Linked DNA regions of Mytilus edulis. The protein of the gene in region 1 binds, or shares a complex with, the protein of each later gene. Links are inferred from orthologs where the notes say so. Each region holds a gene or a part of one and is shown in the gene's direction. Other genes may lie near its edges.

Region 1 (7,953 bases):
TAAAATGCAAACATATATATACACCAGTGACAAGAAACATAAATATATTTACAGAATTTATCATAGCTTGTATTTTCAGTCTAAAATGCTTAGGGCATTTGGTAGGAAGAGGGTGGCGGCTAAGAGAATTGTTTTGCGTCTGAAAACTGGTGGAGATGCGAGTGTTAAGGCCTAAAAAAAAAGATATGTGTTTCCGGTAACATCATTTTGAAAAATAGGGTCGGTAGGTCGGAATTTTTTTTTTTTTTTTTTTTTTTTTTTGACATCGTAAATGAAATCCGGAAAATTATCATGGTTTTTCCAAGTCCGGATCCGTAATTAGTTTCAAAAACCGGAAGTGTGCCATTTGCAATGTTTTTGAAGCACCTGTGCAAATTTCTTGATTTTAACCTATTTGAAATACCTTTTGACATTAATAAAATGTTTAACTGGCTTTCTATGCAAGTAGAAGCAAGAGAGAAAAAATATTATGTCATCTATCAGAAGCCTGTGTCAAAAACGGGGTCGGTTGATACAATTTTTTTTTTTTTTTTTGAAGATCCAATAAAAAAGTTAGGGTCGGGGCTAAAAAACAGGGTCGGTCGGGTTACCGGAAACATCGATCTTTTTTTTTCTCGGCCTAACAGATCTACAAAGTCTAGTAGAAACCACTTCACTCAGTTCAGAGGTTACCGGACCGGTCACCACAACCGCTGCTTCTAGTTCTACTCAACCCATTGCTCGATCAGGAAATTTTCCAGTTTTTCAAACCCCATCTGCGTGCAGTAAGGCCAGTGATGACTTTACAAGAAATTAATCTTTGCAATAAAAAATAATTGCAAGAATATGTTGACCTGGCCTTCCTATATATTTATTAATTCTCAAGCCTCTTCTGGGGATAAAAAAATCGTTATATCATATACTAGTATATGGAGAACTTTTAATACAACCAAGACAGCAACAACAAAAAATTGACACCATAGGTAAATGGGCAGAATCTTTTTTACATGCATAGTATACGGCTGGCGCCATAAGCGGTTCGCACTACGGTGGAAATCGTACAGTGAACAATTATGCCTGAGAATGTCGCAGGATCCAGCTGGTTCTTGGGCTGTTGTTGACTCTATGCTATGGCTGTTCTATATGTATATCCTTCGTCCGCTATTAGTAATGGGCCAATAAGCACGTGACGGGGCGCTTTAACTGTTAAGCATTCAATTACCAACTTGAAGGTACATGCATGAATCAATCATGTGCTTATACTCATTCTTGTTTAATATGTTTTGATCAGCACCCACTTATTCAGTGCCCCAAACAAAACGTTTTTCCTTGTAGGGCAGGCGTAAATGGAAGATTTCAGCAAGCTAGACCTCAATTTAGACCGAGATTTCATGCACGTGGTAGCAACTCGGTGCAGTATTCCATCAATTCAAACTCATATATACTGGTCAATTTATGAAGTGATTCTTTAAAAGAATGCAATTACAGTTGTGACAAAATTTTGTATTTTATCTTAAACTGGTGTGTCTCTTATGGGCTAAAGTGCGACTCTTATAAACACAACTGAATTAAAAAAGTATCTTCGGGGGATTATAAAAAATTAGCTTCTGCTTGATGGGCTTTTTCTTTGGCTTTAGGTTCCTATAAGAATAAGAATAATTATTATTCCAATCAAGGGCCCTTGATGGGCAGCATAACATGTACACATAAAACAATACAACATGATTTGTAACCAGTGGCGGATCCAGAAATTTTCATAAGTGGGGGCCCGTTGACTTGCCTAAGAGGGGGCCCGCTCCGGTCATGCTTCAGTGATTCCCAATATAAGCAACCAAATTTTTCCCAGAAAAGGGGGAGGCCGGGCCCTGCTCCCCCCCCCTTAATCCACCTCTGGTAACAGAAAAAACATTTTTATATACTAAAATGAAACATTAAAAAGTTCAGACAGATGTTATTATCTTCCTTCTATAAAAATCACATACATTTAATTCAAGGCAGGATCAGAACCATAAAATTATTACAATTATCATTGTTATTACATACATTATAAGTTATATGGTTTGCTACTGACCCCCTACGGATCCATAGAGGGTTAGTAAAATCCATAGGGGGTGAGGCCGTAGGCCCTATGGATTTTACTAACCCTCTATGGATCCGTAGGGGGTCAGTAGCGAACCGTATAACGAATTTATCGCACTGAGAGCGTTTTATGTCAAGTTTAGTATAAAATATCAAAATAATAACAATAACAATAGGAATTTATTAACACATTTACTAACAAGTATTTAAAGTATTTTCTTGTATGAATATAGAATTTGGAATGAAAGTCATTTGTTCAATGTTAGATTTTGAATGATTGTCACTTTACATTTGTGAAATAATTGTGGACCGGCAGCTTGTCTTGTGTTGCTAACATTTAAGGATGATTCATTATAATCAAAGTCCCCTAATATAGCGTTCAAATCAAATCCTTCGAAATGCAAAGTTTGTGGAGTGTCTGCTTCAATAAGAGCAGGCACCATAGATCCATTTTCAGTAAGTGCTAGTCTTGCAGGAGGTGCTGGTAGTGCTGATCTAATAAGAGGTGCAGGTAAAGCCTCTATCCGGGCTGGCACAGCTCCCATAGTTACTCCCAGAGTTTGTCCCATTTCTAACTTTTCTTGCGTGTCTACCCGTTGATAAACGGATAGAGATTGTACTGATTTATGACCGGTAACAGACATTATCTGAGCATCATTAAATTTATGTTTTGACAAAATTGAAGCTCCTGTTGCTCTGATTGAATGATTTGTATATTTCTGGCTAAGTTTACATGACAAACTCAAGTCACTCATCAATGTTTTTAGCTTTTTCTCTCCAACAGGTGCGTTGTAATACCATATTTCGTTGTCATCATCAACAAAACAATCCCTTGGACGCTGCCACAATCTGAAATTTTTAAAATGAAGAATTAACATTAAAAAACCTGGTTTTTCTTTACCTTTAGAACAATTATGATACATACCATCATTAATACACTTTGGGTGGATTTTTTTCAGCTGTTTTTTTTATTTACCAATGTTGTTTTATGTTTTTGGGGTTTTGGTCCTCATGATTGTGTTTAAAATTGTTTGAAGATTGTAGCTTTTATTACTGCTAGATTTACTTACCTATCACAATCAGGGTGCAGTTTGTCTGTATACTTTATAAAGGAATCCACTGGACAATACATTGAGCCTGGAATAAAAAATTCTATATGATGTAGGTATAGTAATAAAAAATACATTTTAAAGTATACAAATATTGAGAAAATGTTGATATTTTTTTTTTGTGCTGCAGTTATTGACAAGTAAAAATACATATCATTCCATGCTTTTTAAGATATTTATAGATTGATTGTCTGTGAATAATCAGGTTACATTTTCCGGAGCACCTGAGATCACCCCTAGTTTTTGGTGGGGTTCGTGTTGTTTATTCTTTAGTTTTCTATGTTGTGTCGTGTGTACTATTGTTTTTCTGTTTGTCTTTTTCATTTTTAGCCATGGAGTTGTCAGTTTGTTTTAGATTTATGAGTTTGACTGTCCCTTTGGTATCTTTCGTCCCTCTTTTACATTTTTATTTTGTGTTTGTTTCGGGATTAGAACTCGTCAACTTTAAATTACCAATAATTCTGAGGTTGTTTTTCATAAAAAAAAATTGGGGTGAAAAGATTGGAGATAATTAATGATACATGTATTACTAACCTAGTCTGATAATTATCAAATATATAAAACTAATGTACCTGTAGATTCTGGCATGACTCCACTCGTTGTCTCCTTATCATTTTCATTTTTTTTTTAATTATGTATTTTACATTATCAAAATTCGAGTTTCAAACTATCTACCGGCACACTACATACAGTGTGTCCAATCTGCAGCAGCGATTGCAGCTTTTACCATAGCGGTGACGGTACACAAATAAGTGTTTCGAATACAAATCAAAATAAAAAAAATTTAAACAAATTTAAATGTCCTTACAAAACTGGTTGAAGATGGGTTCTTTTATTAATAAAAGAGAAAAAAAGATGAAAAAGGTAACTCATGAGTATAAGCACCCCCTATAAGTATGCTGGTTTATTACTTTCCTTGGTTTATTTTTGAATCGATAACGCTATAGTTACCAATGTTTACACTAACAAAAATTAACTCACTGAAACAAATGCTAATCGATAAAATAATTCATTGACCAAAAATATAATTATTTATAATTAATTTAAACAAAATCATGAAGCGCCTTTTCTATGGAAGTCTTTAATGTATAAGACAATTCATGATTTTTATTTATCTTTAATAAAAGTATGAAATACATTTTTGGTATTGTTTGAAAATATTTTTTTCAAGTTTCTTTTTCTGATTATGATCAGCATTGTCTGGTTGTATGCTAGCGTGTTCCATTGATTCTAGTGCGGTAGGTCGTGGGTTCGAACCCCGGTAGGTCAAACCAATGACTTAAAAATTGGTAGAATAATGTGTCCAGGTAGGTTGACATGTCTTCCAGCGCAATGTTTACCGATAACTTGTGATCACTTGTGACATTAGAACATCGAAAATCCGGTTAAGTAACAAGAGTTCCCTAGAGCCCACTATATAGTATTTATATAAAAGAAATAATTTTACAAATAACAAGCATATGTTATTATAGATTTAGAAAGTTTAAGGAATAAAGAGTAGACAACTCATGAAAGTATCTGTAATAACACAAGCAAGTTATTTTCTGGAATAACCCTATAGAGTTATATCTCTGACTGTATATATGTCTCACTCTCTGCTGGAATCCAGTCTAGTGAATTTTTTACCAAGAAAGCGGTAATGTTTGTCACATGGTATTGATTAACAGGGGGTATTCCGATTTTAGCCAATCAAAGCAGGTTTTACTTTGACCTCATCGGCCTAAATAGAGTGGGTCATGTGAGGCAATTTCAATGGAAAATCAATATGGCACAACAATTTCTGAAGAAGTTGTTCCCGAATTCTCGGAGTAGTGGTGATAAATGGCGAACAGATTCAAAGTCCGAGTAAGTACCAGTGTTATGTGTTTAAAAAAATATGGTTCTAATAATTACGTTGTAAAAAAATCATCAAAAACCCGAGAAACATTGGTTTGTGAATTTGCATTTTGGTCATGGAATCTCCTAGTCCTCCAGTGAACATCAATTTACTTCTGTCTTATAACTGGGTCTGGTTTTTTATTCGTCTTAAAAGAAAATAACAATAACCGACGCGCATGTTTGTCTGATAAAAGCTGGACAATCGATTCAATTCTTATATATATAAACTTTTAGATATCTACATGTACGACGTGTTCATACAAATGTAAACAAACTTGTGACAAGCACATGACCATCCAGGTCATACACATCCGATATCATCAATTGTAGTTACTTACTTTTTACGTTTATAATCTGTGAATAATTTATTCATGGTCCAGCCGTAGTGATATGAAAGAATAAAACCAGTTAATGATGCAGATTCAAACAGAGAACCAGAATGTTTTCCTTAGCCTTTTTGAGTTCCAGTGTGAAAGCATATGACAGGTTTGACACCCTTTTCAGAGTGATCGTGTTTCAAACACTTTTCCTTAAGTTTGTTTCCGAATCATGAAGTTACATGTTACATACATTTGTCCATGTATATGTATAATTAATAATTATTCAATTATAAAAGTCGTTCAAATCTTGGTACTAGTGAACATGGTGTACATGTACATTTACCTGATTTATAGTACAAATGTACTTGTAATTGTTACGGAATTTCTTTGCAATACTGCCTGACTTGTATCGAGTTAAAGGAAATTTGAAAATCTGAACCTTCAGAACTAACAACTTGATGTTTTTAAAAAGCCTAATGCCCCAGTCACTGACACACTATACCACAATCACATCACGCTTATCGCGATCTAAATTAAATTCTGCAACGATCCCGCCATGATTATACCACATGTACTTTCTCACCACCTTTATTCTGCAACCTCATTATGATTATAATGATCTAACTATGCTCATGTTCTCAATACCACCATACCACGATTTATTTGATTGCAACATAATCTTATCACACTTCTACTGCGATTATACAATGTAGCTTGATCATACCACAATCATTCCACGATCTTAATATGCTCTCAGCCGTGTTTCATATTTAAAAAAAGTTCCATTCCTTCTATTTCTCATTATTTATTAGTAGAATTTTTCTCGGAAACAACAAAGTCATGTTGAGAAGTTGATCAAACATCTCTGGTGGCATTATAATAAATTATAGAAGGAAGGTTCATCTTAGAATCGTAACTCCTTCATCAACTGATGCCCACACTGGAGTCTCCTTTTGGTTGATAGCCAAGGACGAACTCAAAAGGACCTAAGTTGTCTAAATTTCTTCTTATCTGTCCTTTTTGATCTCTCAATAACAATTTAGCCTGCTTGCAGTGGCGGATCCAGAACTTTTCCTAAGGGGGGGCCCGCTGACTAACCTAAGGGGGGCATGCTCCAGTCATGCTTCAATGATTCCCTATATAATCAACCTCATTTTTCCCACAAAAGGGGGGGCCCGGGCCCCCAGGCCACCCCCCCTGGATCCGCCTATGGCTTGTTAAGATTTTGTATCTGTGTTAATGATTGTAGAAGCATTACTCCATGAACATGGTCTTGTGTTTCCATGGTTCAATTGAAATTGATGTTTCAAACAAAACCTGAAGAGCTTTTATATATGTTATGTGACAATGAGCATGACTATATATATAGCTAGAACTCAAAATACTAAATAGCTGTAGTATGAACATAGTCAGGTCGTAAGAAGAGTGTGATAAGGAAGGCATGAGCGGACTAGAATCATACTATGGCTTGAACAGCATGGTTGAGTCGCAATGATAACATGATGGTCTTAGTGAGGTAGTTGTAACATCGACATGAGATCAAAGCGCAGTCTCTCCGACTAGTATCACGTTTTCGCTACGTTGGTAACTTGGTACAGCAACCTTTGCGATCTTACCACGACCAAACAGCGCTGTCACTACACTTCTACTGTGACCTGATTTCCCCACTACAGCACCACTATTGTTTAAAACATGTTCATACTTGGCCATGGTCATCAGGATCATGAAGAACTCACCACAACCTAAATGCAATCTACATTATTTTCAGAGATCAAAATGCAATTGTGGCCTAGTGTGACTGAGGTTTGAGGCTGTCTATTCTGTTATGAATTTTGTAAACACTAGAATAATGAATATTCTCTGTATATCTGGAATTCTTTTACTGTTAACATATACACAATTACTGTCTTTTGATGAGTCAAATAAGTGGTTTTATTATATACGACCGCAAAAATAAAAAAAAATGGTCTTATATTGGTATCATGTCTGCGTCGTTGTCAGAGTCTCTTGAAGACTGATGATTTCCGGTTAATAACTTTAGTATAAGTAAATAGAAATCAATAAAATTTTAACACAAGGTTTATAACCACTAAAGGAAGGTTTGGATTGATCTTGGGGGTTTCGGTCCAAACAGTTTAAGAATTATGGGCCAAAAGGGTCCAAAATTAAACTTTGTTTGATTTCAACAAAAATTGAATTATTAGGGTTCTTTGATATGCCAAATTAAATGGTGTATATAGATTCTTAATTTTTGGTCCTGTTTTCAAATTGGTCTACATTAAGGTCCAAAGGGTCCAATATTAAACTTAGTTTGATTTTAACTAAAATTGAATTCTTGTGGTTCTTTGAAATGCTGAATCTGAACATGTACTTAGATTTTTGATTATGGGCCAAGTTTTCAAGTTGGTCCAAATTGGAGTCCAAAATTAAATTTTGTCAGATTTCAACAAAAATTGAATATGTGGGGTTTCTTTAAGTTTAACATGCTAAATCTAACCATGTACATGCATTTAGATTTTTGATATTTGGCCCTCTTTATCAAATTGGTCCACATTGAGGTCTAAAGGGTCCAAAATTGAACTTTAAAC
Region 2 (7,869 bases), about 11 Mb from region 1:
TTAATGTAATATTCTGTTCCAGACTTCTTAATATAAAAAAGAAGATGTGGTATGATTGCTAATGAGTTCTTTAATTCTTTTTATCAGGTTTATGCTACAAAACTAATTTTTATTGACATCCAATCTTCGATATTTATTTACATATATTACCTAAAATGTCAAATTTTCAGAAAATATTCTTAAAAATATTCAATAACAATGTTACCTTTTCTGCAAGAACTAATTCTACGGACAATCTTGGATCCATCATAAAAAGTTTAGCTCCGAAAAAATCTATTCCCATTACTATATTGTGCCATTAACTAGTATGAAAATAATATCTTTTTTGACACCAATATCATAAAATCTTCTTTTATTTGTATAATCTTTTGTCCATTAAAATTACGGTATTCCCCTTATTATTTTGATATTTGTTGACAACTTGTCAATTGATTAAATCAATGCACTTGGTCTAATAAGTTGAAAATAACAGGCATATTTCTTTTTTATATAGGGCCACTATTTTCTCTGTTGCTACTCAGCTGTGAAATTTACGCCTTGAAACTGACAACAATAGAAAAATTACCAAAACAAAAAATGATTAATATAAACGTAAAAAAGCTTCTTATAAAATTAGAGACCAATAATATATCAAAAGGCTTGGTTAGATATTAATCTTTAGTTATGAAAATCTGATACAATTATTTGTTAATCATATTATCAGGTTTAAAATAAAACAAAGTTAATCTGTTTTTGTAAACTGATTCGATTTACATATATAATATTTATTCCAATATCAATATGATTTTAACCTTTTAGAACAAATGAAGTCTTTAATAGGTGACCATAGGCCAAACATTTTTAAGTTACATATATAATTATGTATACATGTACAAATGTATACTGCAACAGCCTCCACATTTATCATACAACACATGATATCATTTTGTCTAAATCAGCTGAGTGGGAATGGGCTTAATTCATTATTTCAAGCTAAAGTTGAATTCAACTACAATATTAAAATTTAAGGAGTTGTGGTATTATTGCCAATGAGACAACTATCAATCCTAGTTCCATTGGCAGATCAGGGGGGGGGGAGGTTCCAGGGGTTGGAAGTTGAAACTCCCCTTTTTTTTGGTCGATCAATGCATTTGAATGGGAGCATATTCAATGTAGTTGGAACTCCCCCTTTACTCTGGGATGGGAACCCCCCTTTTAAAATGACCGGATCCGCCCCTGAGTTCAAATGATGTGGATATACAGTATTTTTAAGCAAATATTTTCTTTATTAAACGACTCAACATACATGTATTAATTAAGTTTGTGAGCACTCAACCCTACCCCAACCTGGATATGTATTACTGTGTTAATACATACATTAATTTTTTTTCACATGTTATTGTTTAAATGTCTTTTTGATCGACTTAAGCAATTTCAATTGATAATTAATAGTGTGTCTTGTTTGTAGTAATGTTAAACTACTGTCTGAGGTTAGGGTGAAGGTTGGCACCTAATTAGAAAAGGCATATTTTGGGGTGTATCTTTATAGGACCACAGAGGTTGAACGCAGAACAGTTGGGGCAAGTATGGACACGTACAACATTCAATTAAGCTTGATGCAGCTCTCTGAATTTGGATTGTGATTAAATAGTTGACACAGAATAAATGTTGTCTAATGAACTTTTTTTGCTTTTGAGCAATACACTAATGAATATTAATCCCCTCAAAAAAAAAATAATTGAAGAAATTTTTTTTTTATTTTCTGAAATCTTATATGAGAAAAATTGTACCCCCCCCCCCCATTTTTTTTTTACCTCCCCCTTTCCCTTTATTCCAAAAATAATCTCAATTCAAATTTGTAATGGAGTTTGCAACAATGACTACTCATTTAAAAACGTCATAAAATATCAAAAAATAAAATGACATACAGTCTTGTAAAATTAATATTAATTAATAGTAACTTCTACAAATAAATTTACAGCTTATCATCTCAAGACAATCATTATTTTTCATACATAATTTTTAGGCAGTATAAGGGAGGTAATCATACATATATATAACAGTATTCTTTAAATGGAATTGGATTACCTCCCTTACACTGGTTTTAAATTGTCCAAAATATCCTTTAACCAGAAAACCCCTTTTTTGCCCCTAATTTATACTAAAATGATTTGTGGCATAACCCCAAATAAGCATTCCATTGTTGTATGGAACTTGTGGTACTATAATTTCAGAGAGATTTATTCACTTAAACACAAGTTATTGACTGGAAACTACAAAAATGCTTATTTGGGTCCTGTAATTCCTAAACCTTAGGGACCATGACCCCAAAAATCAATCCCAACCTTCCTTTTGTGGTTTTTAACATTGTTTTAAAATTATATTGATTTCTATTTACTTATTCTTAAGTATTATCCATAAACCATCTGCCTTTGGACTATGCTGACAATGTGATACCAATATTCGATCAAAAATGTTTTAATTTTTGCGGTCGTAAAAAAATGACTGATTTGTAATAGTGGTCACTTACTTTACTTGTTGATTATACTTATTATTTGCGGAAATTGGTTTATGCAACATGTAGTATTACTTATAGTTCTACTTTAGTAATTCTTTCTCCTGAGACCGGCCATGTAATTATTCTTGGCGGGACTAGTTGGGACCACTTGCTTCTTGCACATGCTTGACTTCCAGCAAGGCCAAGTTCGTTGTCCCTAGGAACTATAAGAATGAAGTCACTCACTTGGTTCAGGGCAGTCTATTGTGCGTTTGTTTTATCTACATTGGCTAGAAGCATAGGGGGAGGGTTGAGAACTCAAAAAACATGTTTAACCCTGCCGCAATTTTGCGCCTGTCCCAAGTCAGGAGCCTCTGGCCTCTTTTAGTCTTGTATGATTTTTTGTTTTGGTGGCCTTCAGCTGTTGTCTGCTCTATGGTTGGGTTGTGGTCGCTTTGACACATTCCCCATTTTTACACTTAAGATTTGAAATGAGCAGACCCTCATATCGATTTGGCTTGCAAATATCATTATAGAACTTTATTTATACAAGTAGACTAACTGCCACCGAATTTCAGTATTATATTGTAATTATATTCTACCATACATGTCTTTTAAAATAACACATCATGTTTATTTTTACGTGTTTTACATAGTTTTTCCAATATCCCAAAACTTGGGTAGACAACGGGAAAACGAATGGGTTGTAATCAATGTAATGGGAGTATCTTCATGTTGAATAAGATGCAGTCTGAGAAATCATCCTACCCAAGGCTTTGATCATGTATATTTCTTCTTTATTATATAAAAATTGCATCAAATTTGATTTGGTATCTAGTCATTTTTGCTAGTCACTTCATGTAGCCTACATGTATATTATCTTACTTAAGCAAAATTTTCTGAAATGATTTTAAAATTCAATTAGAAAAATGGGTCATCTGTATTTTTAACGGCAATGCGGTTTTCCAGAAAGTCTGCCCAGGTGCAGTAAAATTAATCCGGGTCCGTTCGCGCCCATTCACGTTTGCACCCACTCATGTTCGCCCCCTTTCAGATCAAAGGGATCAAGCTGTTAAAAACAATTATCTTTTGTGTTTTTCATTTAAAATCTTCAATCTTTTACTCATACCAAGCTATAAATACATTCAGTATTATTTACACGAAAGCAATTAAAAACAACAATCATGATTTTCCAATTATTCAACTGGAATTTGAATTAAAATTGGGCGTGAACGTGTAGAGTGCGAATGGACCTTGGGTGCGAACGTGCGAGGTGCGAACGTGTAGTGTGCGAAAGTATATTGGGCGCGAACGGACCTGATACCCAGTAAAATACCCAAAAAAAGTAATAAACAGCTGCAATACCCCCCTCGTCTTGTGTGTGAAGTGTTATGGGAACATCATTGTGAAGTTTTATGTGAACATCATTGTGTATTATATCTCCAAATCTAATGAAGGTTGTAGTCTAGATAATCATGCTGTCCGCTGTGGGCATTTTTCAATTTCAATTTTTTAATTATCCCTGGAAGGCGTCAAAGCAAAAATTTGAAATAGCTTTCCTAGACATCATAATTATTCAACTACTGGTCGAAGGTTGATACCTGTTCAACTAAGAAGTTAAAATATTTATCAAAAAGCATATGTTATTAAAAGTCAATTCAATCATACATGTATCAACAGGCCAGATTATAATTCAATTTTCAATTATCTCAAACAAAGAAGCAAAATTGATGATCAGCTGGTCTCGTTTAATTTTGGAATCTTGCCAACTTGATGACAAATCAGAAAAGTTGTCAACAAGTGTCCGTGGAAAGTAACAGACAGTGGCTTAAGTGTTGAAACGGACCACTTACCTATGTATAGCATAATACAATGTTGGCCTGCATTGCAAAATGGCTTTTGTTATCTATTTATGATAAAGCAGCCGGCGTTGTCAGTTTATTTTCAAGTTTCAACATGCCAGCGCGTCACTCACCTGTTGATGATTCAGGAAATCCAACAATTCAATTCAGTTTAAATTACTCCTATTCCCTTTTTCTGCAAGGAAATTTTTTAAAGACTCTTTCTTTTAACCAGATTCATCACAGGTAGCATGAAATGGATGTGTATTCGTTTTGACAGGTAGCACCCGCCATTTTTCAACAAATGTGTTGTCTATCAATCCAAAACTGAGATGCTAGGCCGTTCTTGATTGGACAATTGTTTAAATGAACGCCAATGAACATTCTTTTGTCAAAATTATTTACTCATTGTCACATGATTCCAATATGGTGAACAAAGTGAAAGTAGAAGTTAAATGAAAACAAGATATTGGTATGTTTACATTGGCAATATGTTTTGTTTATTAGAGCTTAATATGCATTTGCATTAAAAAGGGCTTTCCCACTATAATGTAAGATGTATTCCTAGGTGGCTATTGACTATCAGTACATATTTTGTACTCATTTGGTATGAACTTTCTTTCATTCAGTGATTTGGTTAAGGTTCATGTGGACCCTATGGCTAAAATGGCCGTATTTTCACCTCAAAATTTACTCTGAGTACAGGCAAACCTGTGCATCTGGAAAAGTTTTAAGGCATAGCATGCCCTAGATAAATAGAATTCAAATGCAATGTATGATTTAGAAAATTCATAACTTAACTGGATTTTGCCGTACACTTTTTTTCGTCCCTGCAGAAGATGATAAAATTAACAAACAGTTGAGTTTACCTTGATATGGTCCACTCAGGTACACAGTTTAAATATCCAATTATTGTCAAGTATCTATTGTCCATCTCATGTCCATGTCAAGCAATACAGCTCACTTCAATTATTACCTGTGGGGAAGTTCTCAAACCTGTTTCCCAACTTAGTTTATTTTGGCACCTTCTGGAGGAATGAAAAAAAGTGCACGGCAAAATCCTGGTAAGTTTTTATTTTTCTTAAACATAAAAAATATTTGAAATTTATTTATCTAGGGCATGCCATGCCTGAAATATTTTACAGATGCGCAGATTTGTCTGTACTCAGGGTAAATTTTGAGGTGAAAATATGGCCATTTTAGCCTTAGGGTCCACATGAACCTTAATTAATTTTTAGTTTTTATTTAGATACAAAATTTCATAATTATTTGTTACTGGAATATGAGTCAGGCATTACCTGTAAAAGGGGACGAAGTCTGTATGATTTTTGTTTTTTGTTTTTTTGAAACATTTTTTTACTTCAAAATGGTTAAAAATGACACTGAAATGCTGTAACATTTTGGATTTTGGTTCTGTTGTTAGGGGTTTTAGTTGTCATGTTATGTATGTCATGACGTCATATTCAATGTAAACAAAGAAACGCTATCATCAGGTAATGATTTTTCATATCAAAGAATTATTAAAAATGATATTGGTATTGTATTCCTTCTTATGTTTTACTAGACTGATAAATATATATATTTTGCTCAAAGTCTCCTGACAAAGAGACCGAAAAAAGGACGGAGATTTCTGCGCAAATGCAGGAATTTAAAAAAAGTCTGAAAACAAAAAAGTTAACGATTTTGAATTCATTTAATAGTAGAATGAAATATTAACAGATTTGACTAGTTTAGGGAAATTTCAATTGAATACTTCTTAAAAAAATCATTGAAATACATGTATGTCCCAAATAAATTAAATAAATCATTTCTGAATGTATAGAGCAATGGAAGAATAAAATTATTTGTTTTCTGTGATGAATTATGTCAGATGGAGACTTGAGGAAACCTTGCTAATTTTAGACTGTATGAATAGTCTGTTACAGAAATCACTATATATATAAAGTTCAATGTTTGTCACAGATTGTTTTTTTTTTTTTTTTTTCATATTTAAAATTGATGAAGAGAAGATAAAATTGTAACCATGTCATGCATGTGATCTAAAGTATTGCTCATGGACACAACAACTTTGCTGTCTTTTTTCATTTATTTTTTTTTCCATTAAGATTTGGGTTCTCAAGAGTCAAGACCAAAGAAAGTGAAATAAGTTGCAGTTTACATGATTGTTATTGTCAATAAAGTAGTATTTGAAAAAGCATAAATGTATCCTTTAAGTTTTAAACATTTAAATTGACTTATTTTAAAAGTAAATACTTATGCTCTTTTGTAGATCTACTTCAGAACTGAAAGATTTGTTAAACTATTATGAATGCTATAATAGCACTTTGTCACTTCTGTGAGGGACATGGTCCACAAGTTATGTTTTGTACACAGCCTACACATCCAAAGGAGCAGACAGAATTATCACATGAGGAGGCTGCAGCGTTATTATCCAATCGAGTGAGATCACCATCTGGGGATTCACCGGTATCGTCTAAGTCTGAACATACATGTGAGGTAAATATTTTTAATTTTCACAAAAGTTGAAAAGTTGTAAATTAATTAACAGATACTTTTGAAGTTGTTGTTTTATATATATGAAAAACAGGGAAATTCTGTTGCAAGTTTGAAGATGTATTAATTTGTAGAAAAACATTTCTTAAAACAACAGATTCATGAAAACATTTAAAAAGTGATAATAAGTTTTAAGTCTCTTGTTGTGAGTTGTCTCATTGGCAATAATATCACATCTTTTTTTATATTTAAAATCAAAAACAGTTAAATAATCAAATACCAAGTAAAAGACATGTGCACATCTTTGTTTGAATTAAATTATCCCTTTAAAATGAGAATAATAAGGAGATGTACATGGTGTGGTTGTTAATGAGACAGCTTCCAAACATAATCAAAGGATAAGGATGTTTTAACAACTATATATATATACCGGTAGGTCACCATATGGCCATCAACAATGAACAAAACTTGTACCATAGAGTAATAATTTTTGCATTAAACATTTTTGAGAGTTTTTGTCATACTTAGTCTCTTCTAAAACATTAGATTCCTTTCTATTATTCATTCTTTTGAAATTCTCTTATGTTTCTAGGGTTGTTACTCAGTAAAAACTGGATTTGTTAGCCATGATAATGATGCTCCAATCAGTTATATTAGCAGTAAATACCCTAACCCAACACAGCCTGAAATTTACAGCCTTGTGAGAAATGCATGCTTGAGGAGTCTTAGTGGTGAGGTGAGAGTTGTTTTTTCTAATTGATACAAATATTATCCATTTAAGGGAACTCTACCATAACTAAAATTAAGGAGGCATTTGCTCAGCAGTTTTTAAATGAATTGTGATTTGGGTAACCAGGTCCAGAGAGTGATTTATTTTCTCATATTAAATTTCATGAATTCTAGAGGAAAATCTGTTTGAAAGGTTTTATTTTTGTTTTTTGTTGTCCTTAATACTGAAATTTCCCTAACATGTAATTAATGAGAAAGGATATTTTCACAATTTTATCTTTAACTTGAAGTTAAAGGAAAAAAGTGTATGGGTCATATATATATAGCTTC

The links.
Region 2: folliculin-interacting protein 1-like (region 1) and folliculin-like share a complex: the UniProt entries of both Homo sapiens proteins name them as parts of the lysosomal folliculin complex. The link is inferred for Mytilus edulis from reciprocal best matches to the Homo sapiens genes FNIP1 and FLCN.

What each region holds. Positions count from the first base shown.
Region 1 is NC_092352.1:64,614,150-64,622,102, reverse strand, and holds the start of folliculin-interacting protein 1-like, read left to right. Parts: upstream 1-4,868; 5' UTR 4,869-4,932; coding exon 4,933-5,012; intron 5,013-5,093; exon of another isoform or gene 5,094-5,484; coding exon of another isoform or gene 5,485-5,531; intron 5,532-7,953. Other genes in the region: uncharacterized protein, read right to left, coding at 2,307-2,907, 3,129-3,319. UniProt on the Homo sapiens protein: Binding partner of the GTPase-activating protein FLCN: involved in the cellular response to amino acid availability by regulating the non-canonical mTORC1 signaling cascade controlling the MiT/TFE factors TFEB and TFE3.
Region 2 is NC_092352.1:53,339,425-53,347,293, reverse strand, and holds the start of folliculin-like, read left to right. Parts: upstream 1-4,677; 5' UTR 4,678-4,789; intron 4,790-6,422; exon of another isoform or gene 6,423-6,586; 5' UTR 6,587-6,621; coding exon 6,622-6,813; intron 6,814-7,402; coding exon 7,403-7,546; intron 7,547-7,869. Other genes in the region: serine-rich adhesin for platelets-like, read right to left, coding at 206-283. UniProt on the Homo sapiens protein: Multi-functional protein, involved in both the cellular response to amino acid availability and in the regulation of glycolysis.